4 linked regions of the Lytechinus pictus genome follow. The protein of the gene in region 1 purifies or fractionates together with the protein of each later gene. This does not show direct contact. Links are inferred from orthologs where the notes say so. Each region holds a gene or a part of one and is shown on either strand. Other genes may lie near its edges.

Region 1 (6,904 bases):
ATATTCAGATCTTCAAACTTGACATTTTCCTATCCCCTTCATCATCCCCTCTCCTTCTCCCTTTCCCCATTTTCGTTCTCCCTTCTTTTCTTTTCTTCTCTCCCTTCCCTTTTTCGCTTTTCCTTTCCCTTCTTTTCTTTCCTTTCTCCCTCTCCTACTCTTTTCTCGCTCTTTCCATTTTTCTTTCCCTCTCCCTTCCCCTCTTCCTTTCTTTTGTTTTCTTTCTATTTTATGGTCTCCTTTTCCCTCTCTCTCCTTTACCTTCCCCCCTCCCCTGATCTGTCTTTTCTTGTCTCTCCTTCCCTTTCCCGCCCCCTCCATTCCCTTTCTCGCTTTTTCCTTTCTCTTCTTTTCTTTCCTTTCTCCCTCCCCTACTCTTTTCTCGCTCTTTCCATTTTTCTTTCCCTCTCCCTTCCCCTCTTCCTTTCTTTTGTTTTCTTTCTATTTTATGGTCTCCTTTTCCCTCTCTCTCCTCTACCTTTCCCCCTCCCCTGATCTGTCTTTTATTGTCTCTCCTTTCCTTTCCCGCCCCCCCCCCATTCCCTTTCTCGCTTTTTCCTTTCCCTTCTTTTCTTTCCTTTCTCCCTCCCCTACTCTTTTCTCGCTCTTTCCATTTTTCTTTCCCTCTCCCTTCCCCTCTTCCTTTCCTTTGTTTTCTTTCTATTTTATGGTCTCCTTTTCCCTCTCTCTCCTCTACCTTTCCCCCTCCCCTTTTCCTTTCCCTCTCCTTTTTTGTGCAAACATTAACACGAACATCTTGCTTCCTACACACACACACAAACGCCCGCAATCTAACACACGTAATGCGAAACAATCGGGACATTATCATTTTGTTCATATATATATATGTATATTTTCTCAATGAACATTTTCATCTATTTAAAGCTTTGAAAATTATTAAACAATGATTCCATAGGCGAAATCTCAATGATCATTAGGAAGGTACTTTACCCATTTTCATTTTATGTCATTGTGATTATTCCAGACTAAGGCAACATATTTTGGATATAAAAATACGTGAAGGATATGTTCCTCTTCTGTTTTATACTTTAACAGAAAACATTTTGTTCAACCAAATTATGATTTGTATTTCCAAGTTCCATGTAATATTTTCATTGGAAAATCTCTTAAAGGTCAAGTGCACCCCAGAAAAGATTGCAACCTGTTGATTTTTGGTACAATTTCCTATTATGCGCCGACGACTTGAATCGAGAATGTTCGATAGGAAAATTTCGCATTTCGATTGTTGTTTGCGTAATTTCCACCGCAGTATGAGGATGACTAAGGACGGATCGAACGAAGTATCCTGGTTGAGATTTGGAGGTAAGCGACAAAAACACTTTAATAAATAATTTATAATTCCTTTTTCAAATAAACTTAAATCATACGATCAAGATTAACATAGTGGACAAATAGGCGCTAGTGTAGTTTCGCACCTCCCCGTTTAATGGTTTTCAAACATGTACAATCTCACCCTAAATAATTCACAACCTAAATACTTGCATCTGAGCCTCCAAAGTCCAGTAGAAGTTAAATATTTGCCGCTTTGACACTTTTTTTTACAAAGTTTTACACCTATTTCGGAATCACTCGGTCGCTTGAAGCTCAGCGCTGCACATAGGCAGTCGGTACGCGTACAGTACGTACCACCTAGGCCTAGTGAAGTGCAAGAAGAGCGAGTTTTTCTATGGTATCTTCAAAAAGATTTTTTTCCCCTCTTTCAGCTTGCACCAAGTATTACGGTAGTGGTTGTGCAGAGTGGTTGATGTTTGTTGTGTGAAGGTGTGTGTGGGGTGTGCGTGTGTGTTTGCTTGTTTGAATGAAATAAGAAATGTGAAAAACCACTACCGTAATCACTAGCGTACCTACGGGGGGGGGGCAGGGGGGGCACTCTGCCCCCCCCTGACGAGTCACAACCCATGCAAAAACGTATCTTTGCCCCCCCCTGACGGACTTGAAAAAACCTTTTTTGGCCCCCCTGACGAGCTTGAAGACCTCTTTTTTTTTTTTTTTTTTTTTTTTTTTTTTTTTGCTTGTCAATTTTTTTTCTGGTACGAAATCCTTTATTTGTGATCGAAGACCTTTTTTTTTTTTTTTGCTTGTCAAATTTTTTGGGGTACGAAATCCTTTATTTGCGATCGAAGACCTTTTTTTTTTTTTTTTTTTTTTTTTTTGCTTGTCAATTTTTTTGGCGGACGGTTTTGCCCCCCCTGTGGAAAATCCTAGGTACGCCACTGACCGTAATACTTGGTGCAAGCTGAAAGAGGGGAAAAAATCTTTTTGAAGATACCATAGAAAAACTCGCTCTTCTTGCACTAGGTGGTACGTACTGTACGCGTATCGACTGCTTATGTGCAGCGCTGAGCTTGATCAAGCGACCGAGTGATTCCGAAATAGGTGTAAAACTTTGTAAAAAAGTGTCAAAACGGCAAATATTCAACTTCTACTGGACTTTGGAGGCTCAGATGCAAGTATTTTAGGTTGTAAATTATTTAGGGTGAGATTGTACATGTTTGAAAACCATTAATTAAAACGGGGAGGTGCGAAACTACACTAGCGCCGACAAATATTGAAAGGTTTGGCGTAGTTTAGTCCCTCACATTCGTGTGATGAATGAAAACGTCAAAATGCACTATGAAATCACATGTGTTGTGCGAGGTTAGTATACTAACCTCGCATGTTGTGTGAGTGGAAGCCGCCTGGCTACAGGGCCCCAGGCCCAGCCAGCCGAGCCCGTAACTTCACCGGCCCTGGCCGGCCCGCGTTATACCTCTCTTCGCTGTTATTAACACGGGCTAAATTAAGTTCGTATTCAACAGTATCTAGCGCGCAAATTTGTTCCACGAAATCCTCATATTACCTGCAAGCACATAAATAATTATAATTCCATGTGGCACCTATAATCATCTTATATTTATCAAAGAAATACTGATTAATTTCAGTGTTTACCTGGCTTACTTGGATGCAGGAAGTTCGAAGGAAACCGTACACTGACTTCCGCTGCGCTGCGCGCGCGCGCTGGGTCGATAGCCGAGCGCGCGTACACGTTGGATCGATACGGGTGATGTGATGGAGGGGATGATAATGATGATGATGCCCGGTGCCCGGTGATGATGATGATGATGATGGTGATGGTAATGATGATGATGATGATGATGATGATGATGGTGATGACGATGATGATGATGATGACGATGATGATGATGATGAAGATGATGATGATGGTGATGATGATGATGACGATGATGATGATGATGATGATGATGATGATGATGATGATGATGATGATGATGATGATGATGATGATGATGATGATGATGATGATGATGATGCATGATGATTATGATTATGATGATGGGGATGATGAACCAGGATAATAATGTCAATCCCGGTCATGATTTCTGAAGAGGTACCGATATATGGATAATGCTGGTTATGATATAATGATGAATACGGGGGTGACGATGTTGAGGGTGATGGATATGGTGTGGTGACGGTGGTGGCCAGTGCTGCTGATTCCTAGCACTGCTGTTGCATGCTGCCTCTGATGATGATAATGACACTGTTTTTCATAACATTGAAAGTAATATCTAGAGCAGGATGTTAAACTTTGGTATAAAATGTTTTATTTAAATGTTAGTAGTTTTGAGTTTCAATATATTCAGTAGTTTCAATATATTGTCTACTCTATCCACTAGCGTACCTACGGAGGGGGCAGGGGAGCAGTCTGCCCCCCCCCCTGACGATCCACAACCCATGCAAAGGACGTATCCCTGCCCCCCCTGACGAGCTTGAAAGACCTTTTTTGCCCCCCTGACGAGCTTGAAGACCTTTATTGCCCCCCCCCCCCCTCGCTGACGAGCTTGAAGACCTTTTTTTTTTTTTTTTTGCTTGTCAATTTTTTTTCTGGTAGGAAATCCTTTAATTGTGATTGAAGACCTTTTTTTTTTTTTTTTTGCTTGTCAAATTTTTTGGCGGACGGTTTTGCCTCCCCTGTGGAAAATCCTAGGTACGCCACTGCCTCTATCATTATCATAATCATAGTGTTGTTTCTATATAGGCTATCTTTGATTTTTAATATCATTCATGAACAATTAAGCGCAAGCTTATGTTTTTCATACAGGCCCTACTGACCAAATAAATGAACATTTTAGGTGACTGTTATATTTTGTGAAAACATGGGTGGATTGATGAGTTCCCTTTTCTTATTATGTTATTACATGAAATCATAATTATTTTATCAGTTTTTCATGCATGTGTGAATGATTATAATAAAATAAGTAAACTAGCAGCAATAATGTCTCAGGCCTGGAATATCTCATGCATTAAAGCAGTTGTCAAACCATTATTTTAGTTCTTGGAGGAAAAAATAACAAAGACAAAAGGCAAGTGGGATGTGATTAATTTACTCATTGAATATTCATGAAGTCAAGCATAAATTACTGTTTCACTGAAATAATGCAATTTTTTAAAGTGTCATAACTTTGTTATTCCTTCTCCGATTTAAATCAAATTTTCAATGTTCAAATTGTATTAATTTAGCCTGGAGTAACCCTTTACAAGCACTGTTTGTATCATGAACAGCACACGTATCCGAAATGCGAGCATTCAGTTTATATGACATATACAAAGATAAATTTTAAGGATTTTTTTTAGAAATTCATGAAGAGGAAAGTTTTCTGACCAATGAAAATGCGAGCGAGCAGCTCAAGCTGACTTTTTTCTCTTCAAATCTAAAAATTTGATAAATAATTGACTGTTTTAGGACTTCTACAGCGCGTCCCCAAAAATGTCCCTCTGACATAGGGCTGAATTAATTCTAAAATGTGGTAGTATTCTCAAAAAAATGTTCATGAGTAGAGCTCACTTCATGATCTAACTTCTATGAAAATTTCATTGGTTGCGCTTCAGCGGTTTTGAATACTGTTATACGTAACAGTGGTGCATTTTAGCCCATTCCAAGTTTGCAGCATTGATGCATTTCTGTATTGTCTATGGCATATTAACCCATCACATTCTTACATCCAGGATCTGAGCAGGGACATTTCCCTAATCATATCCAGGCTCATTAAATCATAAACTTTGGTATGTTCAGAAGAAAAGAAACATAAAAAAAAATTAAGCTTGTTTGATGATTGATAAGGGGAATCAGTGCACCAACTTGGAAAGAAAATGTGAATGATGGATGAGTAATATAAGCTGAAAAATAAATGGGAATCCACAAGTTAATCACCCTTTGCGAAAAGGAACTATACCAGAGAACAATTTGACTTTTTTTTCTTTTAAAAAGTTACATCGAATTAAATTGACCACAGTAGCTTATTAAAGGGATGGTCCGGGCTGAAAGTATGAATAACTTAATAAATAGAGTAGAATTCATTGAGCAAAATGCCGAAAATTTCATCAAAATCGGATAACAAATAACAAAGTTATTGAATTTTAAAGTTTAGCAATATTTTGTGAAAACAGTCGTCATGAATATTCATTAGGTGGGCTGATGATGTCACATCTCCACTTGTTCTTTTGTATTTTATTATATGAAATTAGGTTTATTCAAATTTTTTCCTCCAAGAACTAGAAAAATTGGATTGACAACTGATTTAGTGCATTATATATTTATTGCTGCAACTTATTTCATTATAAGGGAGACATATCATTCACACAAGTATGAAATAATGAAAAAATTATGATTTTATGTAATAACATAAGAAAACGGAAAGTGGAGATGTGACATCATCAGCCCACCTAATGAATATTCATGACGACTGTTTTCACAAAATATTGCTAAACTTTAAACTTCAATAACTTTATTATTTGTTATCCGTTTTCGATGAAATTTTCGGCATTTTGCTCAGTGAATTCTACTCTATGTATTAAGATATAAATATTTTCAGCCCGGACCATCCCTTTAAGTAAAAATAAGTAATAAAAACAAAAATGCAGTATTATAGGCATGAAACAGACATGACCCGTTGTATTAATCATTGTGCATCTCTTAATTGTTATCAAACGTGAAATGAACTGTCAAATATTGTTTTTGCCCTTCTGAACATGCTCAAGGTTGTGATTTGATGAGCCTGATTAGATGATGGACATTTCCCTGGTCAGATCAGGGAATTCCTTGGTCAGAATGGTCGAAGGGGGCTGATATGATATGTGCAGAACACACAGCAGTGCTGCAGGCATGCAAACTTGCAATGGACTAAAATGCACCACTGTTACATCATAGAGCTCTATGGTTACATAATAGACTGTGTATTCAAAATTACTGAAGCGAGACCAATGAAATTTTTATAGAAGTTAGAACATGATATGGGCTTCCTAGTTTCATACATTTCACTGAGAATAATTTTTATTTTTTGAAGTAATTTAGCCGCATATCAGAGGGACATTTTTTTGGGACGCGCTGTAAGGTGTGTAACTAAATGAGAGCCCGCAGCGCGAGCGAATTTTAATTCAGATCTGAACAGGGGCGGCGGAACCAGGGGGCAGGGGACAAGTGCCCCCAAAAAATTCTCCGTAGAAAAAAATCCCTTTTTTCAAACTAATGGAAAATGCCCTTTTTCAAAATGAAATGTGCCCTTTTAAAAATGAAATACCCTTTTTGAAGCAAAACAGCAAAGAGTTATGGTGGTAATTCAACAAATACCCCAACATGGCCAAAGTCCATTGACCTTTGACCTTGGTCATGTGACCTGAAACTCGCACAAGATGTTCAGTGATTCACTGAATATCTTGTGCGAGTTTCAGGTCACATGACCAATTAAGGTCAAAGGTCAATGGACTTTGGCCATGTTGGGGGTATTTCTTGAATTACCATCATATATCTGTAAGTGTATTGATCTAGTTCATAAAACATGAACATAAGAGTAACCAAGTATCACTGACTTGGTTACTCTTATGT
Region 2 (7,805 bases), on another chromosome or scaffold:
GGAGTTAGTTCCAATCTTACAATTTTTTACCGTTTCACGAAGGGCTTCCTAACTAGTATCCCTTGATATCGATAATATCGGTAGAAAGAGCAGACGAGACGTAGCCTTAGTCATAAAATAGCATTATTTTTTAAAGCAAAAATACGATAAAACTGCAATTATTGTGATTAATTTGGAAATACATCTAATCAAAATGATAGCAGAGGCAAAATATGTACCATGCATACTTAAACCATGAAGACTGGAGCATTCAATTGCTGAGAAAATGAAATTATGAATAATTCATTTAATGACTAAAAAATCACATGTGGACATTGAGATGGGTATCCCCGGGATACTAAATTTTGATAGCTTACGAAAGTAAACAACAATTGTTTTCTTTGTAAAATAATAATAATTATACGTTTATTTATGGTTCCAAACATCATCAAAATATAGTTTAACATATAAATTTTTATAATTTTATATACCGAAACACACGATTTGACAAATTCTTTGCATAAATTAGAGATAGAATTTATCAAAATGTTGATAAGGGTCTGAAAACAACGAATACGAGTCCAGTTATGGATGACCTGACATGGTAGAATCTTTATCGATTCAATTATTTTACTTTTTCAAAATGAATGGTTTTGTTGCGTTTTACCAACAGTTTTTAAACTTTCTGTGCATTACAATTATTATTGTCTTGAATGATCTACATGTATCTCACCTGTTTTGCAATGTAATTTCAACTTCTATGAATGATTACGTAAGATTATAATTTTCAAATTTCGAGGCACTTTTGCCTGTCATAGTCTACCCACGTGATGTCACTATGTCATTACGAAATAAGTTATGACAGGTTCGGAGGTGTCATAAATATTTAGTGAGGTTGTTGTCCCCGATCTTGGCAAAGAGGGCTTCGTGAAACGGTTAGCGGACAAGTAGCTCACTATCTTCGATTTAGTCAAGAAGTTAGACTTAGACTTATGACGGTGTTGAGAAACGGGCCCCAGGGCCAGGCCAGGTGCTTAACCTGGTCCATGTTATGTTAACTGGGACCAGCCAGACTGGGTGTCCGATATTAGGGCACTTTACTCTACTTCTTCACAAATAAATTAAAAATCAATTAATAATACTTCGAGCCACTCCAAACGTAGCATACTCCACTCCTAGTACCAATGAGGTCCAAACATTAGCATGTATGGACCTCATAGGCGACAATGCGTTAAAAACAGGTTAGAACTTCTAACCGTACTGTTTCCTGCACCCAAGTATGATATTACTCCCAAAATATGAGTTTTGTCCTCGTTTGTTTATCATTTATTAAAAGATTGCCCATTGAATATATTCCTATTCCTAATTTGAATTTAATAAAATAAAGGGAAACTTACATTTGAGTCATTTTTCGATCTTTTTTTGGCAGTCAGTCCGGTCACCGTCGAGTGCGATCAAAGCGGTATGAAGCTGATTTTCAGATCACGTGATACGTTAACCCAGAGAGCTCCCGCCCGTGCAGCGGGCGGGAGCCCAGAAGCTTACCGTGTATTTTACCATTGCCACCGGACTAGGGTGATTTATGGTCTAAATATTTCTCCAAATGAATTGTGAAAACGGAAAGTATACAATTACCACGATTATATGGATGAAGGTCCAACGAGTGGCAGATTCCTGACATCTGGGCACAGTCTGGAACCTCAAAAAAACGAAAAGTTCTCTCCTTCTACCCCGTCTCGATCGGCCATTTTGTTAAAAATCGTAACAAAATGGCCGATCGAGACTGGGTAGAAGGAGAGAACTTTTCGTTTTTTTGAGGTTCCAGACTGTGCCCAGATGTCAGGAATCTGCCACTCGTTAGACCTTCATCCATATAATCGTGGTAATTGTATACTTTCCGTTTTCACAATTCATTTGGAGAAATATTTAGACCATAAATCACCCTAGTCCGGTGGCAATGGTAAAATACACGGTAAGCTTCTGGGCTCCCGCCCGCTGCGCGGGCGGGAGCTCTCTGGGTTAGTGATACGTGTGGTCATCACCTGATCAATCGACTATCCTTTTTTAAAGACCGCAACAATTATAAATTTTATTATAAAATATATATAGAATAAATTATTGCATAATATTATGTATATTTCTACAATTAAAAAATATTTTGTGATATAAATTTAATATTTGACGTAAAAATCGCTATTGAACAAAATATTTATTAAAAAATAAAAAATCAAACAAAATAAAAAAGCCTTGGACACAGTGCAAAAAACCTAACGATTTGGCCGCGTTGTTAACAACTATCGTAAGGGGCGCTTTATTTATAAATAAAAAAAAATGTACAGCTGTCTACCGCGACGTGGTTTGTCGCAAGATTTGGGACAAATCCGTGGGAATTCTGGAGAAAATACATCAAAAGAACTGGTGAGTACCGTTTAAACATTATCAAATTACTAAATAGATTATACATAGGCCTACCTTGTAGATTTAGTTTTTAATTTAAGGTGATATTAGTGCTTAGTTCTAAGCTAGGGAGGCCCAAACGCGCGTGAGCGGAGTCCCACTTTATTAACACGGGTAAGTATTGCGGTGTCGCCTAGAGTGGCATACTCTTCAAGTTAGCTTGATGTGCCAATCGCGGTATTTTGCTGACTGAACTATACAGATCGGTGCAACTCAGCTCACGGATCCGGCGATTTAGCTCATGTAGTATTATAATGCATACGTCATGGAAACATGATATCGCCTATTCACTTGCATTCATTAAAAATTGCACACGACAGAAACTGTAATGCCGTCTCCTCTGTGCTAGACCGAGTTTGAGGTGGAGTCACTCATTCATTCTTTTTATTTGAGTACCAAACCAAGATCATCCGAGCGAAAAGGTAACCTAATTTACCGATTAATACGTTATACTTACATTCGTCTGCGTTGAAATTATCTTTCGACAATTTGTTGACAATTTGTTCTGCCATCTTCCTCCTTACCCCCTTTTTAGGGCCGGACAAGTATGTATGTTACATGTACCGGTAGTCTTTATCACGCAAACACTAAATTGTTAGACCTTTTTTTAATTATGCTGATCAGATATAAAAAAATATATATTTAAACTAAATATAAAAAATACAGTACTCTAGATCTACTCGTAATTCAAATTCGATAGAATCTTAGTATTTGATATAATTTTCCATTTGACTCCTTTAGTATTTGCATTTTATTTCTTACAAAAAGGGAAACAGTATAGATAGCTAGACTACTAATTATTATTGACTTCCCTTTGGCCTTTGTTGTCCCGACGAAGCCTATGTCAAGTGAGCCAACAATAAGCCAGCCAACAGCAAGCCAGCCAACAGTTCCAGCCAACAATATCGCGATATAAGATAGATCAGATACAGGATTTTGCGCACGAAGAGAGGCGTGCATTCTTGTACAAATCAAACAAACGGGGTCAGGGCTACACGGACCTAATCACTAGTGGCAGGCCATAGATATTCATTCGAGCCAAAAATCAACGGGCTAGTGTTTTAGTTTTAGTAGCCCACACCCCTATATACTCTATGTGTTTTCGTATATTGAGGAGTAAATTTCAACTAAAAGTCCTCTTTATAAAATACAATTGGAAGATTGCTCCTGAAATATATTTTGGGTGTGTGTAGGGGGGTTTCCCTTCTTTCAATTTGTAAAGAAAAACAACAGGCTAGTGTTTTAGTTTTAGTAGCCCACACCCCTATATACTCTATGTGTTTTCGTATATTGAGGAGTAAATTTCAACTAAAAGTCCTCTTTATAAAATACAATTGGAAGATTGCTCCTGAAATATATTTTGGGTGTGTGTAGGGGGGTTTCCCTTCTTTCAATTTGTAAAGAAAAACAACGGGCTAGTGCTTTAGTTTTAGTAGCCCACACCCCTATATACTCTATGTGTTTTCGTATATTGAGGAGTAAATTTCAACTAAAAGTCCTCTTTATAAAATACAATTGGAAGATTGCTCCTGAAATATATTTTGGGTGTGTGTAGGGGGGTTTCCCTTCTTTCAATTTGTAAAGAAAAACAACGGGCTAGTGCTTTAGTTTTAGTAGCCCACACCCCTATATACTCTATGTGTTTTCGTATATTGAGGAGTAAATTTCAACTAAAAGTCCTCTTTATAAAATACAATTGGAAGATTGCTCCTGAAACATATTTTGGGTGTGTGTAGGGGGGTTTCCCTTCTTTCAATTTGTAAAGAAAAACAACAGGCTAGTGTTTTAGTTTTAGTAGCCCACACTCCTATATACTCTATGTGTTTTCGTATATTGAGGAGTAAATTTCAACTAAAAGTCCTCTTTATAAAATACAATTGGAAGATTGCTCCTGAAATATATTTTGGGTGTGTGTAGGGGGGTTTCCCTTCTTTCAATTTGTAAAGAAAAACAACAGGCTAGTGTTTTAGTTTTAGTAGCCCACACCCCTATATACTCTATGTGTTTTCGTATATTGAGGAGTAAATTTCAACTAAAAGTCCTCTTTATAAAATACAATTGGAAGATTGCTCCTGAAATATATTTTGGGTGTGTGTAGGGGGGTTTCCCTTCTTTCAATTTGTAAAGAAAAACAACGGGCTAGTGTTTTAGTTTTAGTAGCCCACACCCCTATATACTCTATGTGTTTTCGTATATTGAGGAGTAAATTTCAACTAAAAGTCCTCTTTATAAAATACAATTGGAAGATTGCTCCTGAAATATATTTTGGGTGTGTGTAGGGGGGTTTCCCTTCTTTCAATTTGTAAAGAAAAACAACGGGCTAGTGCTTTAGTTTTAGTAGCCCACACCCCTATATACTCTATGTGTTTTCGTATATTGAGGAGTAAATTTCAACTAAAAGTCCTCTTTATAAAATACAATTGGAAGATTGCTCCTGAAACATATTTTGGGTGTGTGTAGGGGGGTTTCCCTTCTTTCAATTTGTAAAGAAAAACAACAGGCTAGTGTTTTAGTTTTAGTAGCCAAATTGAAAGAAGGGAAACCCCCCTACACACACCCAAAATATATTTCAGGAGCAATCTTTCAATTGTATTTTATAAAGAGGACTTTTTGTTGAAAATTACTCCTCAATATACATAAAAACATAGAGTATATAGGGGTAAGGGCTACTAAAACTAAAGCACTAGCCCGTTGTTTTTCTTTACAAATTGAAAGAAGGGAAACCCCCCTCTACACACCCAAAATATATTTCAGGAGCAATCTTCCAATTGTATTTATAAAGAGGACTTTTTGTTGAAATTTACTCCTCAATATACGAAAAAACATAGAGTATATAGGGGTGTGGGCTACTAAAACTAAAGCACTAGCCCGTTGTTTTTCTTTACAAATTGAAATAAGGGAAACCCCCCTACACACACCCAAAATATATTTCAGGAGCAATCTTCCAATTGTATTTAATAAAGAGGACTTTTAGTTGAAATTTATTCCTCAATATATATAAAAACGTGGAATATATAGGAATGTATATGAGCGTGGGCTACTAAAACGAAGGCACTAGCCCCTTGTTTTTCTTTACAAATTGAAAGAAGGGAAACCCCCCTCTACACACCCAAAATATATTTCAGGAGCAATCTTCCAATTGTATTTTATAAAGAGGACTTTTAGTTCAAATTTACTCCTCAATATATATAAAAACGTGGAATATATAGGGGTGTGGGCTACTAAAATTAAAGCACTAGCCCGTTGTGTTTCTTCACAAATTGAAAGAAGGGAAACCCCCCTACACACACCCAAAATAAATTTCAGGAGCAATCTTCCAATTGTATTTTATAAAGAGGACTTTTAGTTCAAATTTATTCCTCAATATATATAAAAACGTGGAATATATAGGAATGTATATGAGCGTGGGCTACTAAAACGAAGGCACTAGCCCCTTGTTTTTCTTTACAAATTGAAAGAAGGGAAACCCCCCTCCACACACCAAAAATATATTTCAGGAGCAATCTTCGAATTGTGTTTTATAAAGAGGACGTTTGGTTGAAATTTACTCCTCAATACACGAAAAAACATAGAGTATATAGGGGTGTGGGCTACTAAAACTAAAGCACTAGCCCATTGTTTTTCTTTACAAATTGAAAGAAGGGAAACCCCCCTACACACACCCAAAATATATTTCAGGAGCAATCTTCCAATTGTAGTTTATAAAGAGGACTTTAGTTGAAATTTACTCCTCAATATACGAAAACACATAGAGTATATAGGGGTGTGGGCTACTAAAATTAAAGCACTAGCCCGTTGTTTTTCTTTACAAATTGAAAGAAGGGAAACCCCACCCTGACCCCGTTTGTTTGATTTGTACAAGAATGCACGCTTCTCTTCGTGCGCAAAATCCTGTATCTGATCTATCTTACATCGCGATATTGTTGGCTGGAACTGTTGGCTGGCTTGCTGTACTTGTTGGCTAGCTTATTGTTGGCTGACTCTACTCCGGCCCCGACGAAATACGCTGTATTCGGCACACTTTTTAGCCGGCCCATTGTGAATAGAACTAAAAGAAAGAGGGAAAATCAAGAATAGAGATTGGGTGAGAACTTGAAATTATCTCTTTTACCTTAACCTTTCACTGTTAAAATCTTAAAATTTGCCCAAAACATAAAAATTACTTCAAATAATCGATCACGTGTAGGCGAAGATCTCGGCGTGTGCGATTTTTAGGCACTAATGTAGCATTTGAATTTCACGTTTTCATGTTCGAGGTGTTGTGATTACATATGAGCTTAATTGACGGGTAAATCATGCAGGTGATTCAGCACATCATTACGCGAGTTGAGTGTTTGTGTGTTGGGGGGGGGGGGGGTGTTTGTCTGTACTCCTTTGATGGTAAGTTGTACTTGTAGATTCCCTTCCTCTGAGGTGCGGAGATCGGTGGAAAACCGCAGTTGGTTGTAAATAGGCATCGTCATTCACCACAAGATGGCGCTCTCGCGCTCGTACTATATTTTGTACGTAGTGTGCGGAGGATTTTGCTGCAGCCGCGGTGCTTCTCTAGCTATCGGTGATTCGACATGTGCGAATTGATACCATTCTCATTTAAAAGTGATTGGGTCGTTTTCCAAAATCTCGGCATATCATTAACCTAAACTATTTTCTCTTTCGTGCGATATGCAGTTTTCCATGTTTACATTGATCCAACCCCTCGCGAGCGACTCAACCCGACAAGGTAAGTCAAAATTTCTTCACTTTTCTCACTAAGTTTGTGTAATTTGTACACTTATCCATATCTGGCAACATTTGGCAATTAAAAGACTGTATTAGAAAGAATTCAGAAATGTTTTTTGGTTTTTTGAAACCAAAATCAATCGTACTCACCAATGCTCACTGATTGCTCGTTCTGCATGAAAAAGGGCCTGTATCGACCAAATTATGAAAATTTCGCCCCCCGTCGGAGGGCGCGAACAGATTTCGCGTTGGCTGCCGTGTTGCTCGCTATGGATTTTGTGTAGTTAACGACTCCAATTGACAATGCACGGTACGCGAGTACCAACTATTAGTCTCATCATGAATGTTTCATTTTTTATGTATAATTAAATCAGCACTTAAAATAAATAAATGAAGGAAGTCCCTATTTGATTATTATGGCTTTATGATCATGCAATATTCTAAAAAAATTAATTAGACTTGTTGATTTGTATAAACTATAATTTCTCTAACTGTAACTTGTAAGTGAGTGTACATGTAAGTTAACTCTGTTTTGAAGGCGGGGCCGGGGGGGGGGGGGTGTTCTGTGGTGCCACCTCACCCATCCTGTTTCCAGACCCAGGTTAAATGTTATCATGCATAGAATCTACTAGATCTATAGCTCTTTTTTT
Region 3 (7,867 bases), on another chromosome or scaffold:
ACCCCGATGGATGCAATTTATGGTGTTAATGGCAGCCCATAGTTAGAGAAAATGATACTGATTTTTATAAATTTCTTTTCATTGTGCAGCTTGACCTTCCATACATCAGGCGGAGTTACAAGAAGCTATATCAGCAGACCCTGATGGAAGCAATTGAACAGAAGTGCAAAGCCTCCTTCAAGATGGCCCTGGTCCAGATGGTCCAGGTCCATGGAGCATTCCAAAAACAAGACCAAGTAAGCTCTATTCTCTCTACCAGTATAAGAAGTGATTTTCGACATATATATGCCCAAACTCCATGGTATATTTTAACACCTAAAAGTGTGGGTCTCTCATAACACTGACTGGTGTTCTTATAAACACTTTTGACCTGATGCAGTATGTGGCCTCATTTATTTCAAGAAAAAACAATATTTACTAGACTTCATTAATTTAAATGTCCTTTTTTTTTAATTAAAGATAACAAGTGTTGTAACCCCAGCAATGCTACATTACTTTATTCTTATTCTGTTTAATGCAGAAATGTGATTATAGAACTTGATCCAAAGCTATTTGAAATTTAAATCATTTTAGACTAAAGAAGAGGAGCCAGGAGGATCTGACTCACAAGAAGCTGAAAAGCAGGCTGGTGGACCTCCTAAACCTTCCCAGCAGAGGCCCTTGAAGCACCCTACACCTAACACCGGTGCCAAGGTACCTGCCAGTAACCCCCTGGTGAAGAGTACCCTAAAGAGCAATGACGCCAGAAAGGGTACTCCAGGATCTCCAAACAGATCAGCAGGAGCAAAGTCTAAACAGGTAATTAATTAGTCTATTAAAAAGGTATTTTTTCTAAACCTGTAGTGAATAAAACTTTTTACTTTCCTGCAAATAGACAGGTGGATGTGAAAAAATACTAATTAATCTTCTTTCATGAAAATATCAAATTGTAATTCTATTATTCATACTCCTTAAATACCATTCCATAATAATTATTGTGAAGGTTACTACATGATTGGTATATGAAAGCTTTTTATTTCATTTAAATTGATGATTTTCTGTATCAGATTATTACAAAAATTAACCTTGTGAGCTTAATATTGAAGCTGTCTAGTTCCATCTCTTTTAAATCATAATCATGATAAACATAAAATATTCCCTCTTTTTCTTTAGACTACCAACTCTCCTGGAAATTCTGGAAAGTCCAGACAAGCTCCTGGAACCAAGACTGGAGTAGGGGCGTCGGCCATCAGCAGGAAAACCACCACACCCCCACGAAAGGCGACTCCACCCAAACCAGCCCAACCCTCAAAAGAAACCTCAAAAGCACAACCACCGACCAAGAAGAAGGTGGAGGAGAAATCAACTACTGAAAAGGAAGATCAAGCCAAGATGGATGAAGAGAAGGAAGAGAAGAAGATGGAGGAAAAGAAAATGGAGAAGGATAAGGAGGCCCAAGGAGAGGCATCTGCAGAGAAAGAGACTCCTGAGAATGAAGAGGGTGAGAAGGATGAAGATGAAAGTGATAACAAAGATGGGATGGAGAAAGAGGAAAAAACGGAGGAGAAGTCCGAAGCAGAGATGAAGTCTCTGAGTGGTACAGAACCAACATCGGAGGACATGTCAGCAGAGAGTGAAGTGAAAGAAGAGGTGAAGGAGGAAGAAGGTAAAGTGGAAGAATATGGAAAGGAGATTGAGATGAAACCCAACGAGGATCAAGAGCAAGGAACTTTATCATGATGAGCTGCATAAAGAATTGGAAATTATTTATTAAAAAAAACTATGGAAAGCCATCACAGCCATAATTCACCATCTAGAATATATGTGTTGCTGAGTGACGTAACTTTCAGAGAGGTGTATTGCTCCTGAAATGACAAACTATGTAACTCAAAATTGAAATATTCAAGAAAGTTACAAAGCATTGATGCCATAACACCAGAAATAACGAGTTGTTTCTTTGGGGTGATGTTGTAGCTTCATTTTGTAAGATAGAGAGAGAGACCTTAGACAGTATATATCTTTTGGTGTTCAGTTGGTCATCTGTTTCTTCACAATAAATAAGTGATTTTGAGATAAGAGGTCTATTAACCCAAGCAATACTATGCCTTATCAATTCAACCAATCAGCATGCTTTGGGTTTTTTTTTTTTTTTTTACAAAGTGCCATTACATCTGCCTTTGATTGACAAAATATTACCTATCTAGCCTTTCTTAGTTCGGATTGATATTTGAATATCATAATACAGTATAAAAACCTCAAACAATTGCTGATTCTTGGACAAGAATCTGTGTTCAGGTTAACAATATCCTTGTATGTTTAACCTAAATGATAGATATGATTATCCATATCCTCCTGTTTTGAGTAATTGTGTTGTAAAGATGTATACAATGCACAGATATTAATCCGTCAGATATATATCTTACAAGTGATTCTAGTTATTATGTTGTGATTTTACTTATTCACTCAAAGAAAATATGTTTATATCTTTCTCTTACTCTTACTCTCTCTCTTTCCCTCCTTCATTCATTATGGGTAGTGCAAATAGATACCTTTCTGAATTTTGTTAGATGCATATATTTTTTAATTTTTCACATATTCATCTTGACCATCTCCATAGAGTTATGATGTTTATATATATTGCTTTCTGTTCTATGAATGCATATTTGTTGTTATTTTGTGCATTATGACAAATTAATTTTCTAAAGACAATATATCCATTATTGGATTTAGTAAAAAAATAACAGATCTTGAAAATAATAACAGAGGGATTCCAAAATTAATTTTCTTGTAGAGGCATGTCTCAATTTAAAAATAAAAATGCCTCGCCTGGATCCAAGCAGCAGCTTGTCATTGTTCAAAACTCACCTACACCCGACATCTGGATTTATTTTTAATACATGAAATTTAGAGTGTAGACTTTCAACCTGTCTTCATCATTGGATATCAATAAAAGAGATTTAAAGCCTTTAGGCCTATATATTCAGAATCTTTTTTTTTTATGTCACAAATAGATACATTTTAAAGATAGTATTTGATTTGGGATCTTGAATAATACAACTTGTAATCCGTATGTAATTCTTGATAAAGTTAAGCTTTATCTAGAAATTCTGTATGATTGTCATACAAGTCGTCAATATGATTCAAGTGTCCTTAACTCATGAAATACAAAGTATTTTTATGATCTGCCAGAAATGTGATTTTTATTTGTAAAAACTGTTGATATGGAGTATACACTGTCATGTATCACTATGTTAAACTGTGATGCAAATTTATATTTTGTACATGAAAATTTACACATGCACCAATTTGAAATTGATGATATATTTTTATTGCCTTATACACTCATCATGATCATGGCCATTTTTCAAATTATTTCAAATCAAATCTAATTTGATAATGTATGTTATGCTTTGATCACAATTTTGTAATGTTGTATCATACTACATGAACTTTGAATTTTAACTTATTGTACTTTGTAAATAAACAACATGAATAAAAAAAATGTTAGTGTTTCATTGATGATGAGCTAGTTGCATGACAACTAAAACAGCAAATATTTATATGAAAAGTGTGAAAGAGTCAGAGAGAGAGAGAGAGAGGGGGGGGGGGAGAGAAACAACATGTGGACTATCTACCAAGTACAGTATATAAGTACATAAATATGTATGTATATGTACATGTATACTTTTTTTTAGAATGTACATGTATACTTGGTAGATAGTCCACATGTTTGATCAATATCAATAAAAATATGGTAGAAACTTTCATGCTTATATATTCTTTTATTACTTTGTTTTATTCTATAAATTAGAGAAGGGGGGGATAGGTAGTGAGGTTTATAGAGGAAGGGTGCAGATGAATGCATAGAGAAAAATCTAGAAAGACAGAAGGACATCGACAGGGGGGGGGGGCTACAGCTAGAGAAGAAAACTAGAGGGAAATGGCTAATTGAGAAAGAGACGGACACTAACAGAGAGAGACGGGTCTATAAGGCAGCATGTATAATAGGCCTGTACGAGTCAAGGTGGTAAAAAGGGTCATTTAAAATATGCTTATTCTCAGTAATGAATTATGGCAGGGCCCTGGGAATGATTTTTTTACTAGGGGTGTCGATGTAAATTTGAAAAAAAAGTTATATAACAAAACGAAGGTCATTTTGTCGCACAGAAATTTGACAAGGAAAAAAATAAAAACAAAAAGGGTTTTCACTACAAATTAAATGAAAAACATAAATTATTCCTTCTTTTTCTTTAGACTACCAATTCTCCTGGAAAGATCATCTAGGTCCAGAGAATTTGAAAAGCAATTAAAAAAAAGAAAAAATAAAGGCTTCTCGACAACATGAAGGTCATTTTGTCCAAGAGAAATTTGACAAGCAAAAAAAAAAAAAAAAGGGGGCCGGGGGCTCACTACTAATTATTTTTCCACACCTACCAGAATTCCTGGGGAGTGTTTCATCAACATTTTCATCCGACAAGTTGTCAGATCTGACATCTTTCTCTGATGTTGATTGGCTGAGAGGTACTGTTACTATGGTAACTGTCGGATAAAATGGGACTTGTCGGATAAAACGTCCGACAAGTACTTTCATGAAACGCCCTCCCGGGGGTGCTTCCTACATGTATGGAGAATAAAACACCCAGCACCCCTTACGAAAATCTTGGGGGTGCTTCACCCCCGCACCCCCGCTTCCCAGGGCCATGAATTATGGGCACACTATACCACAGGGTATCCTAATTTGTAGATAAATCCCGAATAAATATACTAGGTCTGAACCCGGGGGCATGAAAGGATCAGACAGACCACTTGACCTCGACTCACAGTAATCAGTAGTGTCTCCCTCTTTTGGGCAAAGCTTTATAATTATAGTGCTCCCCTCGCATAAAATGTCTTCCGGGATTCTGCTTGCATTTGGGAGTGAGAAGCAGACGCGAAAATCAGTCGTTGAAAACATCATTAATTCTTCGTCTTACCTCTAACTTGTTAAATCTAAAAGAAGATGTCTTCTTTAAAAGAATTTGCTGTAAGTTGACCTTTTGATGAAGTAAAAAGTATAATATTTGTCTTGCATTTCTAGGTTCGAGTTCCGAACAGTGAAGTCTGTCAGTGTGACGTTTTTTTGTTGTTTGTAATCAATATGATTGAAATGAATAAGGTACCGTCGTATCTAATGAATGAAACAGTGACAGTGAGTTTGGTGATCCAGTCAGTGGACTGTATCATGGTAACTAATAGCATAAGACTATAGGCCTAACTAATTACTAATCGAGTCAGAATTAGAATGCCCAAACACTCCAAACTTAGTTAACAACAATTTGGGAGTAATTTAATTTTGGCTTAATTGTTTAGGGAACCTCTTGTCCATTTGTACGCAAGCACTTGTGAAGACAGTTGTGTACCATACCACTATTCACTAACAAGTATTGCGAGGTTCCATGCACTACGATTCGTGTCTACGCAGTGGATTTTTTAGTTGTCGGTTAACATTGCTTCATAACAGTTTAACACAAATAATGTGAGCCGAAACTCATTCCGTTGGCGTTACTCACCAGGGCTTTTTCTGGTGAAAAGTGTTCCATTTTCAATTTTAAAATAAAAAAGAGCAAAATTGCTTACCTCGGCCTGGAAAGTGGCTTCGCGTGTCTCTTCGACGGAAATAAAAGGAAGGTCGTTGGTGGCGCTAGTACAATTCACAACCTTAATTCAGCTTGGCGGCATTTTTTAGACTAGATTCTTGATTCATTGTATATGCGCAATTCCAATGATTGTTTGATAAAATAGAGACACCAATATTCAATAAATGCAATAACTTATAAAACATACTTTTTATATTATTTTGCTGACGATAATACTTTTTGGAAAATATTCAAAGCGACAATTAAACAAAAAATATAGAAAATTCTATGTACCTTGAATGAAGCCCCGCAAGTGCTACCATTCGTTTGTCATTAACGTTCTACCAAAGTCTTTACAGTAAAAAGATTGGACACTTTGCCGACTTACTTTGTGTAACGCTTTGCATCGATTTACGTGTAAAATAGTTTTTGTGCTTAGTCTTTCCCTTGTAGTGTCTTTGATATGAAGATAAATCGTGCGACCTCTTTAGCTCATTAGACGCAAATTTGGGAAATCGCAAGCTCGCTCCGTATTTTGTCAACGAGAAGAAAATTATACTCTTAAATGACGCTATTTGAGGGATATTCATCATATTAGGGGGAATTGACTTTACATCGTTTGGTAAGTTTCGTAGGAGGACTTGATTCTGTAAATCCTCTTATGAAATTTGCGGGAGTTTGTTGCAATTTTGCATGCGCCGTGCCTTCAATTTTCCTGTACACGGCGGCAGTAATGCACCCATGGGTGGTTGTGTACAAGTGAATAATAATGTTCTTAATCGATCGCTAGAGGGTATTCATTTGTCTCGCAATCTACTATGGTCAACAAATTTGTGATCACTCTCGCAAAAAGTGTTCACTAGCTTTCTAGGAAATTTGTGATCACTCTCGCAAAAAGTGTTCACTAGCTTACAAGTTCACGAGCTTTCGAGTGCCGCTGCAACTCTTTATCAAGTGAAGAAAATTATCTTACTAACCTTCCCAAAATGTGGCCAAGTTAATGTGCAGTTTATGCAGTGGGCACGTCATGGTCTAGTGGTTCTGACTCTCACCTTTCAAACAGAAGTTTGTGGGTTCGAATCGTAGCCATGACGTGTTTTCCTTCAGCAAGAAATTTATCCACACTGTGCTGCACACGGCCCAGGTGAGGTTAATGGGTACCGGCAAGAAGTAATTCCTCAAAAAGCTGTGCGCACCAGAATCAGTAGACTAGCTTAGCCGGGGTAATATAGGAGTGCCTTGAGCACCTAGCAAGGTGGATATGTGCGCTATACAAATCCTATATTATTATGTCTAAAATAAGGATACAAGATTCTGCTTCCTTATTTTGTAGCTTGGTACAAGAGTCTATTATACCCCCAAACTGGCCAACTTGATCTATAAACTTCTCTGAGATAATAAAACATTTCTGAAAGAGAAAAAAATTACTCAGAAGGTCAAAAAACAAAAATTCCTTTCTAATTTCACCAGGCTTGTTGCACACGTGTTGTCTGTAATATGGTGGATGGCTGTTGATAATGACAATAAATTGAGGGCAGTATTGCAGAAATTTATTTAAAGATGTTAAAGAAAATTACAATGTTTCAACTTACCCCGCGTTCCAACTAACCCCGGTCTCCCCTACTGTCCATAAGGTACACTCTTGCTTGGGTCAGGAAAAGGTGACGTCACTATAAAAATTAAGATTCAATGCATTGCATGCTCTTAGTAAATGCAGACGCGCAGGGCTAACCGGATAAATGCACATTACCATTAATCGATATTCTCCCCAATCATTTAACACAGGGTTTACCCTCCAAAAATAAAAAGTTATATTGTACAACTTTTTGAAATGAGATCACGTGGCACCAATCTAGCCAATCACAGCTCGTATTTTACTACCATTATTTATCTATATAATGCAGTAGCAGCCAAATAGCTAATGTTCAGAGCTTAAACACTGGTGTCTTCACTCTCGTGCCTTAGAAGTTTTAGTATTCAGGGCCAGCTCATCTCTATCATCTTAAGACTACTGGCCTTTGGAGAGTAAAAGAAAAAATTCAAATACAACCTTACTTTCCATTTAGCCTGGTAGATGTTCTCGTCAAGAAGATATCAGTCAGATCGCTATAAACATGCCTGGAAAAGTTATAGTTCTGAGATTGAGATAAAGTGTGTGCAGGTGACCCACTACCATGAATGTTTATATACCTATGTCCTTAAAGGGGCTTTCACAATCGCTCTTGCGATCGTTTGCGGTCATTTGGTCACAATATATGTTGCACACAATCGCA
Region 4 (7,603 bases), on another chromosome or scaffold:
AGAAATCATACGGATGCAAATATGATTACTGAACAAATGCAAAGCTTTTCACACAAATCACTGTATAGGGGAATTATGAAGTGGATAACACTTAATAAATGATGCGAGCTGATATTTTTATTATTATTTTGACCTAGGACCAGGACATTCGAGGCCTTTTGTCATTTTGTCATCATATGAAAATGATGACTATCTTCCTATTCCTCTTCCTAAGCACGATAAAATTTGTCGATATTTGATGCTTTCTGAAAGAGGGACAATTTAGTTATTAGCAATTCATTAAAAAATTATCATATCTATCAATCTAAAAAGCCTAATTAGTGCGTGAAATTTGTTGACATTGAGGCTTGAAAACTGAATATTTTAGGTACTTTTTTAATCATGAATAGGATAGGAATCATGGGTTTTGATATAATTTTAACAATTAATGTGAGCGCAAATCGCGAGCCGAAATCTTTGATAAATAACTGTCATAAAAAGGGGGTTTTAAGTAGTTTGTTATAGAATTAATATAGAGGTACATATAACCCATCAATCAAAATGCGAGCACACAGCGCTACGCTCATAGTGCTACGTTTTGACCAAAGTTTTTGACAATCAGACATCCGTAAAATGATATTTTGAGAACTTATGGAAGACACGACAATAGGTAGTCCTACTTGGCAAATCAAATCACGCGAGCGCACAGCGCAAGCTGAGAATGTTGATATTCACACTATAAAACGGACATTTTAAAAAGCACGTAAAAAAATCAATTTGTAAATCAAACAAAATAATGAAAGCTAGATGTCCGAGCTGAAATATGTTTTGCATATTGGCTTCAAAACTTGATATTTTAAGCTACATATTGAGCAAGATATATATCTCATCAAACAGGCAATGCGAGCGCGAAGCGCGAGCGAAAATTTAATGCAGTGACATGAAAGATATTTTTAAACATTATCCAAGTCTTCCCATCACCTTATTTTATTCACTCGTATTCCTCCTTTCTTTCCCCTTCTTTTTTTTCTTTCTTCCCCCCTTTTTGTCATTGTTTTTGCTCCGCCCATGGGGGGGGGGGGGGGGGGGGGGGTGGCCCCTCAGGTCCCCTTGGATCCGCCTATGCTGTATCACATAATTTCATACCGATATATGAACGACTTTACAGATAATATTTAATATTAGGAAGTGATTATTTTTATATTATGACAAAGGAGTAGATAAATTATCGTTTATAGGCAGATATTTTGAAAACGATATACAATTTTTTTGGCGAAGACTAGGCCTAAACCGCATATCATGGACTATTTTCGACTGAATTTCAATAACTGTTGAAAATAGACATTGGTAATCTTAAAACTAAATCATTGCGGTGTTTATTTTTGGAAATATCCTTTATTTTATCTTACTTCTGTTGTTCTGTACTGCCTGATATTTTTTCTGTTCCCATGATTAATTGGGCATCAATAAGTGTAAAGAAACATTTCGCCTTTATGATGGCGCTATATCGATATGATATAGCTTGCGGGATTAAATTAGCTTCATAAATAAGAGAAATATCTCTTGTCAATGATTAAAGCATGATACAAATGATTTTATCAAAACATGGGTGGTGGGCTATATGGAACGACTTGAGGAAGTATAAGGGGGCTGAACATGTATCGTATAAAATCTGAATTTGAAAATTGGTGGGCGGGGACGGAGGGGGGGGGGGGGGGTGGGGGAGAGGTGTTAATCCCCCGGCTCCAACCCCCGCTTTCGTGGCCCCTGCATAACTCGCCTATCCATTGATTATTAACAATTTTTAGTTGTCCCTAAATATCATAAGGTTTTTTTCTATTTTATTTTATTCTATTACTCTGTAAAATTTGTTATTAGAGATCAAGATATACTTCTGCTGCTACTGGCTTCTCCCGTGGCTACTATTACAACTACAGTAGTCTTACTACTACTACTACTATACCTACTACTACTACTACTACTACTACTACTACTACTACTACTACTACTACTACTACTACTACTACTACTACTACTACTACTACTACTACTACTTCTACCAATACTATACTACCACTACTACCACCACTACTAGCACTATACCACCACCACCACCACCACCACTACTACTACTACCACCACCACCACCACCACCACCACCACCACCACCACCACCACCACCACCACCACCACCACCACTACTACTACTACTACTACTACTACTACTACTACTACTACTACTACTACTACTACTACTACTACTACTACTACTACTACTACTACTACTATACTACTACTACTACTTCTACTACTACTACTATACTACTACTACTAATACTACTACTTCTTCTACTACTACTACTACTACTACTACTACTACTACTACTACTACTACTACTACTACTACTACTACTACTACTACTACTACTACTACTACTACTACTACCAGTGGCGGACCGTGACCCGGAGGAGACAAGGCATTGGGGGGGGGGGGCACTGAATTGTTTGTGAACAATGCTGTGCCCCTCCAATGCTTTGTCTCCTCCGGGTCACGGTCCGCCACTGACTACTACTACTGCTGTTGCTACTATTACTCCTTCTAATACTCCTCCCACTGTACTTCTAATATAAGGAAAGTGAGGTAAGGTGAGACATTGGTTTTTTTTTATATTTGGCACATAGGTGATAGGCCTGCAGTTATGGCTTATATTCATAGTTTCAAATTCCGAAATCAACTTCAAATTCAAATTTCAAATTCATTTATTTTTACATTTGTAAAGAAAAATAATTTAGGCCCACACTCATCGAGAATCAAATCATATATACAGAAATGGCATTTTTTGTTTACAAGGTATTATGTGCTTGTCCTCTATGTCTGTGGTCTCATCTCGATTTCAATTATCACAATTGTTTTCTCTTTTATTATTTTTGTTCACCGAAACGATATGCTTAAAGGGAAATCCAGCTTTGGCCATAAAATGTTGTGTTGGAAAGGAAAAAAATAAATTAAACAGAATGGCGAAAGTTTGAAAGAAATCGGACAAGCAATAAGAAAATTATAGCTGCTTTAAAATTGAGATCACTAATAGTATGTAGATTTCAAATTGGCAACTGGGTAAGTAAATTATGACAAGGGGCAAGGACAACTTTCCCATAAGCCATGTACTTTATTATCAGGGATTTGTGGTTTTCTTCTACGTACCCATTCCCCTGGGGCAGTAATCTAATTATAATCCAGGTAGTATATTGTTTTATGTCCTCATGAAAGAAAAATATAATTTGAAATAAAACTTTTGGGGAAAATGACATTTTAGCCATAATATGTATTGGAGTACATGGAAGAGTAGTCCTTGCCTTACATCACTATGACATCCCATATGCGGCCAATTTGAAGTCTCCATGGGTATAGTGATTACCAATATTTACAACTTTTAAAAATTCATAACTTTCTTGTTGTTTGTCCAATATTGTTCAAACTTTCACCTATCAACTTGTCTGATTTTTCTTTTTCTTATAAAAACAAGTTTTTATTTGGGTTGGATTCCCCTTTAACTTCAGGATCATTTTGAATGGTATAATTGAATTATCAAAGATAAAATGTAAGAAGAAAAAAAAAAAAAAAAAAAAGAGACATTAAACCTTTGACCAGTAAGTTTTGAAAATATGAAAATTCTCAATTATTTCACCACCAGGGTATCTTAGTTTGCTTCAGAAGTGATTTTTGTTGTTTAATGATCAATTAATATTAAAAGATTCTTTACTAAAAACCAATGAAATATTATGAAACGCACAGAGTCAACCCTAAAAAACGAATTAGAAAGTAAAAAAGGGGCCTAAGCTTTCGATCCTAGCAGAATCTTCGTCGGAGGCAAAATGACAAACATATAAAGTGGAACAACCATAATATAGACCACAAACAAGCTACAGCAACACTAGAAACAAGGAGACAAAAGGGGCATTAGTGAGTAGAGAAGACCAATCAGGTTAGTGAAGGGGATGAAAGAAAAGGAGTAGGCAGACACAAAGGGAAGTTAGTGTAAGTAAGGCCAGTAAAAGACCTCAAGCCAAGAGGGATTAAGATAATGATAAAATGATAATAATAAAAAACAAATGGCAAAACCCTCATTTGACTTTATAAATTGACAGTTTGAGAGAGAGAGAGAGGGGCCTTAGGACACGCCTGAGTGTTTTCTGTAACGATTTTTTATTTTCAAAATAAAGTCACTTTGAAGCATGATAATTACCCTTTATTTTGATACTTATTCGTCACTGTGTTTGAAGAGCATAAGTGAATATTGTAAATGACTGTAAAAAATATATATATGAAGCAACCGATTGTTGTATTTGTCCAGTTTCTCGCCCCCAAAATATGATCGACCTCTACCCCAGTCATCGGGTAATTGATGACTACTAGTATATTATTAGGTAATTTGATTGTACATGAAATGCAATAAAATTCAGCTTTTCTTTTTTCCTTTTGGTAAAATTTTCTTTCAGCTACACGAACTAAAAGAAAATCAACATATCAGCGAAAATACAAAACATACAAAAATGCTCATGTACTAATTTTTTTACCCCTATTCCCCATTTTTTTTTCTCGAACTAGGCTGTTTTTACGATACCATATCGGGGTGTGTACTATTTTAATTTTGGGGTCGAGTAAATTTACCCTAATAAAAAGGGTATTTCTGGCGGTCATTCTTCTCAGTTTTTATCATTTTTATCTATATTCATCATGCTTGGTGAGGACTTTGGAAAGGCTGAAATAGATGCCATTGAATCGGCTTCTAAACGTGTTGAAAACATGTTAAAGGTGAGACACGAAAACTTTGTATCAGCCATAATCGGCACACAGGTATCACAGGCGCACGCGATTCTTGTGTGCACTGGTCGCATAGTCTTCTGACACATTTTCGTGATAGCATAGTGCTAAATGCACATGAGCTTAGTCGCTGGATATTTTGCATTGGTTGTGCCACGTTGTAAACAAGGGTAGCAGTTATGGCGTTGGTCTGAAAAGTAGGATTATCCTTTATAATATATACAATTTTACGATGATTTCTCCACATATGGCAATTAAAAAACTGGGATTTTCCAGGCCAGGGCACCCACGGCTACATCTCAGCTGCCGACTACAGAATAATTGAAGGCACGGCGCATTATTTCAACAAATAACGTTAATTTATGAAAAATTAATACGAGGACTTACAGAATGAAGTCCTCCTACGAAACTTACAAAACGATGTGAAGTCAATTCCTCATAATTTGATGAATATCCCTCAAAATGTGTCATTTAACTCAAGCGTTGATTTTTCTTCTCGTTGACAAAATACGAAAGCCACCTTTCTAGCTCTCAAATTTTTCGTCTAATGAGCGAGAGAGGGCGCGCGATTTATCTTCATATCAAAGACACTACAATTGAAAGACTAGACACAGAAATTATCTTACACGTAAATCGATGCAAAGCATTACGCGAAGTCGGCAAAGTTTCCAATCTTTTTACTGTAAAGACTTTGGTGGAACGTTAATTGACAAACGAACGGTAGCACTTGCGGGGCTTTGTTCAAGGTACATAGAATTTTCTACATTTTTTGTTTAATTTGTCATCGTTTTGAATATTTTCCAAAAAGTATTATCGTCAGCAAAAATAATAAAAAAGTATGTTTTTTAAGTTATTGCATTTATTGGGGTCTCTATTTTATCAAACAATTATTGGAATTGCGCATACAATAAATCATGAATCTAGTTTAAAAAATACCACCAAGCTGAATTAAGGTTGCGAACTGTATTAGCGCCACCAACGACCTTCCTTTTATTTCCGTGGAAGAGACGTGCGAAGCCACTTTCCAGGCGGAGGTAAGCGATTTTGCTCTTTTTTTTTTTAAAATTAAAAAATATGTTAAAAATTGATAAAGGAACGCTTTCTACCAGAAAAAGCCCTGGTGAGTAGCGGAATGGTTTCGGCTAATATCATTCACGTTATGAAGCGATGTTAACGACAACTCTAAAATCCACTACAAAAACACGTTGGTTGTGCGAGGTTCGTAAAGCATATATACTAACCTCGCAATAGTGTGAGTGGGCCAGGGCTCTTTTTTAATTTCAAAATCCAGGCCTGAGCCAAGGTAGCCTGGGGTAGTCTTGGGTAGCCAGGAGGCTTCTTGAGAGTAAAAATCATTTACTAACGTATGCTTACTCTCAATGAAGCCAGGGACTCCTTCCTATTCATCTGCGTGTACCGCCAAAAAATCTGAAACTTTCGCCCCCAAGATTTCTACTTTCCTTCTAAAACATCTAGCCATAAATCATGTACATGGGATAAAACTTCATTTCCGACATTTCTACGCTCTCGGTTTTATTTTTAAACAAGAATTCATGAAAAAATGAATAAAATATTGTGAAAAGACGGAAGAGACTTGCCCGATGTTTACACCGCCATCTTGTTTCTTATTGTACTTCCCCAACGTTACGCGACGCTAGCGTCCGTAACTTTGGAGACAGTGTTTCATCTTTGTTTTTCCCTCAGTGTTGCCATCCAGCACGAATCACAGATCAGTGAGTCTGACTTAGCCAGGCGGCTTCTTGAGAGTAAAAATCATTTACTAACGTAGGCTTACTCTCAATGAAGCCAGGGAGTCCTTCCTATTCACCTACACGAAGGACCCCAAAACCTGAAACTTTCACCCCCGAGATTTCTACTTTCCTTCTAAAAGATCTAGCTCTAAATCATGTACATGGGATAAAACTTCATTTCCGACATTTCTACGCTCTCGTTGTTATTTTTAAACAAGAATTCATAAAAAAAATGAGAAAAATATCGTGAAAAGACGGAAGAGACTTGCCCGATGTTTACGCCGCCATCTTGTTTCTTATTGTACTTCCCCAACGTTACGGACGCGAGCGTCGCGTAACGTTGCAATTGACAAATCAGGGGGAAATTGAATCAATACGAAATTTGCAAAAGGCCAGTTGACTTACATAAGATAATCCGTCGGTCATGAGAGCCAATCGGACTAATGTGTAAAAGTCAGGACAGCTTAAATTTGACCGAACTCGCGATCGTTACTTCGGGTCATCGCAGTTCTAGTTTCCAACAATCCCAATTCCTAGACTCTTAGCAGGTCTCTTGATTGCTAATAACCTCTGTGAAATTACATGTTTCAAAGTGAAAACACGCAGTTTACGTCTGGTCGGTTAGTCTACTAACTATTGCTCAGCTATACAGTCGACCTCCCAGACATAACGGCGTCTATTACATAAAACTCCCAGGCATGCAGCCAAGTGAAAGGCTTGAATTCCTTCTCTGTTCTGAGATTAGCCTTGATTTCCCCATTATTTGTCAATGAAAGGTCGCTTTAAAGGGGAGGTTCACCCAACAAAAAGTTTATTGTGAATATAACAGAAAGAAGTAATGAAAAATATTGGTGAAGGTTTGGGGAAAATCAATCAAAGATTTAAAAATTTATTAGAATTTTTTATTTGTGATATCATATGTGAGCAGATTCCCATGTATCGTGAATTGAAAAATGTCATTTTCTCAGAAAAATGAAATGGGTTTTAATGTACATACATGTACCTTCAGTCTATCAGCAGACAAATTATTTCACACCTGCTCCGGACTGAA

Evidence for each region.
Region 2: the proteins of exocyst complex component 1-like (region 1) and exocyst complex component 8-like purify together in Homo sapiens (affinity purification with mass spectrometry; 3 studies listed by BioGRID and IntAct, counting the BioPlex papers as one, with this or other methods). This does not show direct contact. The link is inferred for Lytechinus pictus from reciprocal best matches to the Homo sapiens genes EXOC1 and EXOC8.
Region 3: the proteins of exocyst complex component 1-like (region 1) and exocyst complex component 5-like purify together in Homo sapiens (affinity purification with mass spectrometry; 4 studies listed by BioGRID and IntAct, counting the BioPlex papers as one, with this or other methods). This does not show direct contact. The link is inferred for Lytechinus pictus from reciprocal best matches to the Homo sapiens genes EXOC1 and EXOC5.
Region 4: the proteins of exocyst complex component 1-like (region 1) and exocyst complex component 3-like purify together in Homo sapiens (affinity purification with mass spectrometry; 5 studies listed by BioGRID and IntAct, counting the BioPlex papers as one, with this or other methods). This does not show direct contact. The link is inferred for Lytechinus pictus from reciprocal best matches to the Homo sapiens genes EXOC1 and EXOC3.

The regions. Positions count from the first base shown.
Region 1 is NC_087249.1:53,894,422-53,901,325, reverse strand, and holds the start of exocyst complex component 1-like, read right to left. Parts: upstream 3,003-6,904; 5' UTR 2,950-3,002; intron 1-2,949.
Region 2 is NC_087258.1:23,503,486-23,511,290, forward strand, and holds the start of exocyst complex component 8-like, read right to left. Parts: upstream 3,015-7,805; 5' UTR 2,949-3,014; coding exon 2,894-2,948; intron 1-2,893. UniProt on the Homo sapiens protein: Component of the exocyst complex involved in the docking of exocytic vesicles with fusion sites on the plasma membrane.
Region 3 is NC_087251.1:13,168,612-13,176,478, forward strand, and holds the start of exocyst complex component 5-like, read left to right. Parts: upstream 1-4,846; 5' UTR 4,847-4,978; coding exon 4,979-5,002; intron 5,003-7,867. Other genes in the region: neurofilament medium polypeptide-like, read left to right, coding at 90-236, 574-798, 1,153-1,719. UniProt on the Homo sapiens protein: Component of the exocyst complex involved in the docking of exocytic vesicles with fusion sites on the plasma membrane.
Region 4 is NC_087245.1:22,445,528-22,453,130, forward strand, and holds the start of exocyst complex component 3-like, read left to right. Parts: upstream 1-4,584; 5' UTR 4,585-4,714; coding exon 4,715-4,792; intron 4,793-7,603. UniProt on the Homo sapiens protein: Component of the exocyst complex involved in the docking of exocytic vesicles with fusion sites on the plasma membrane.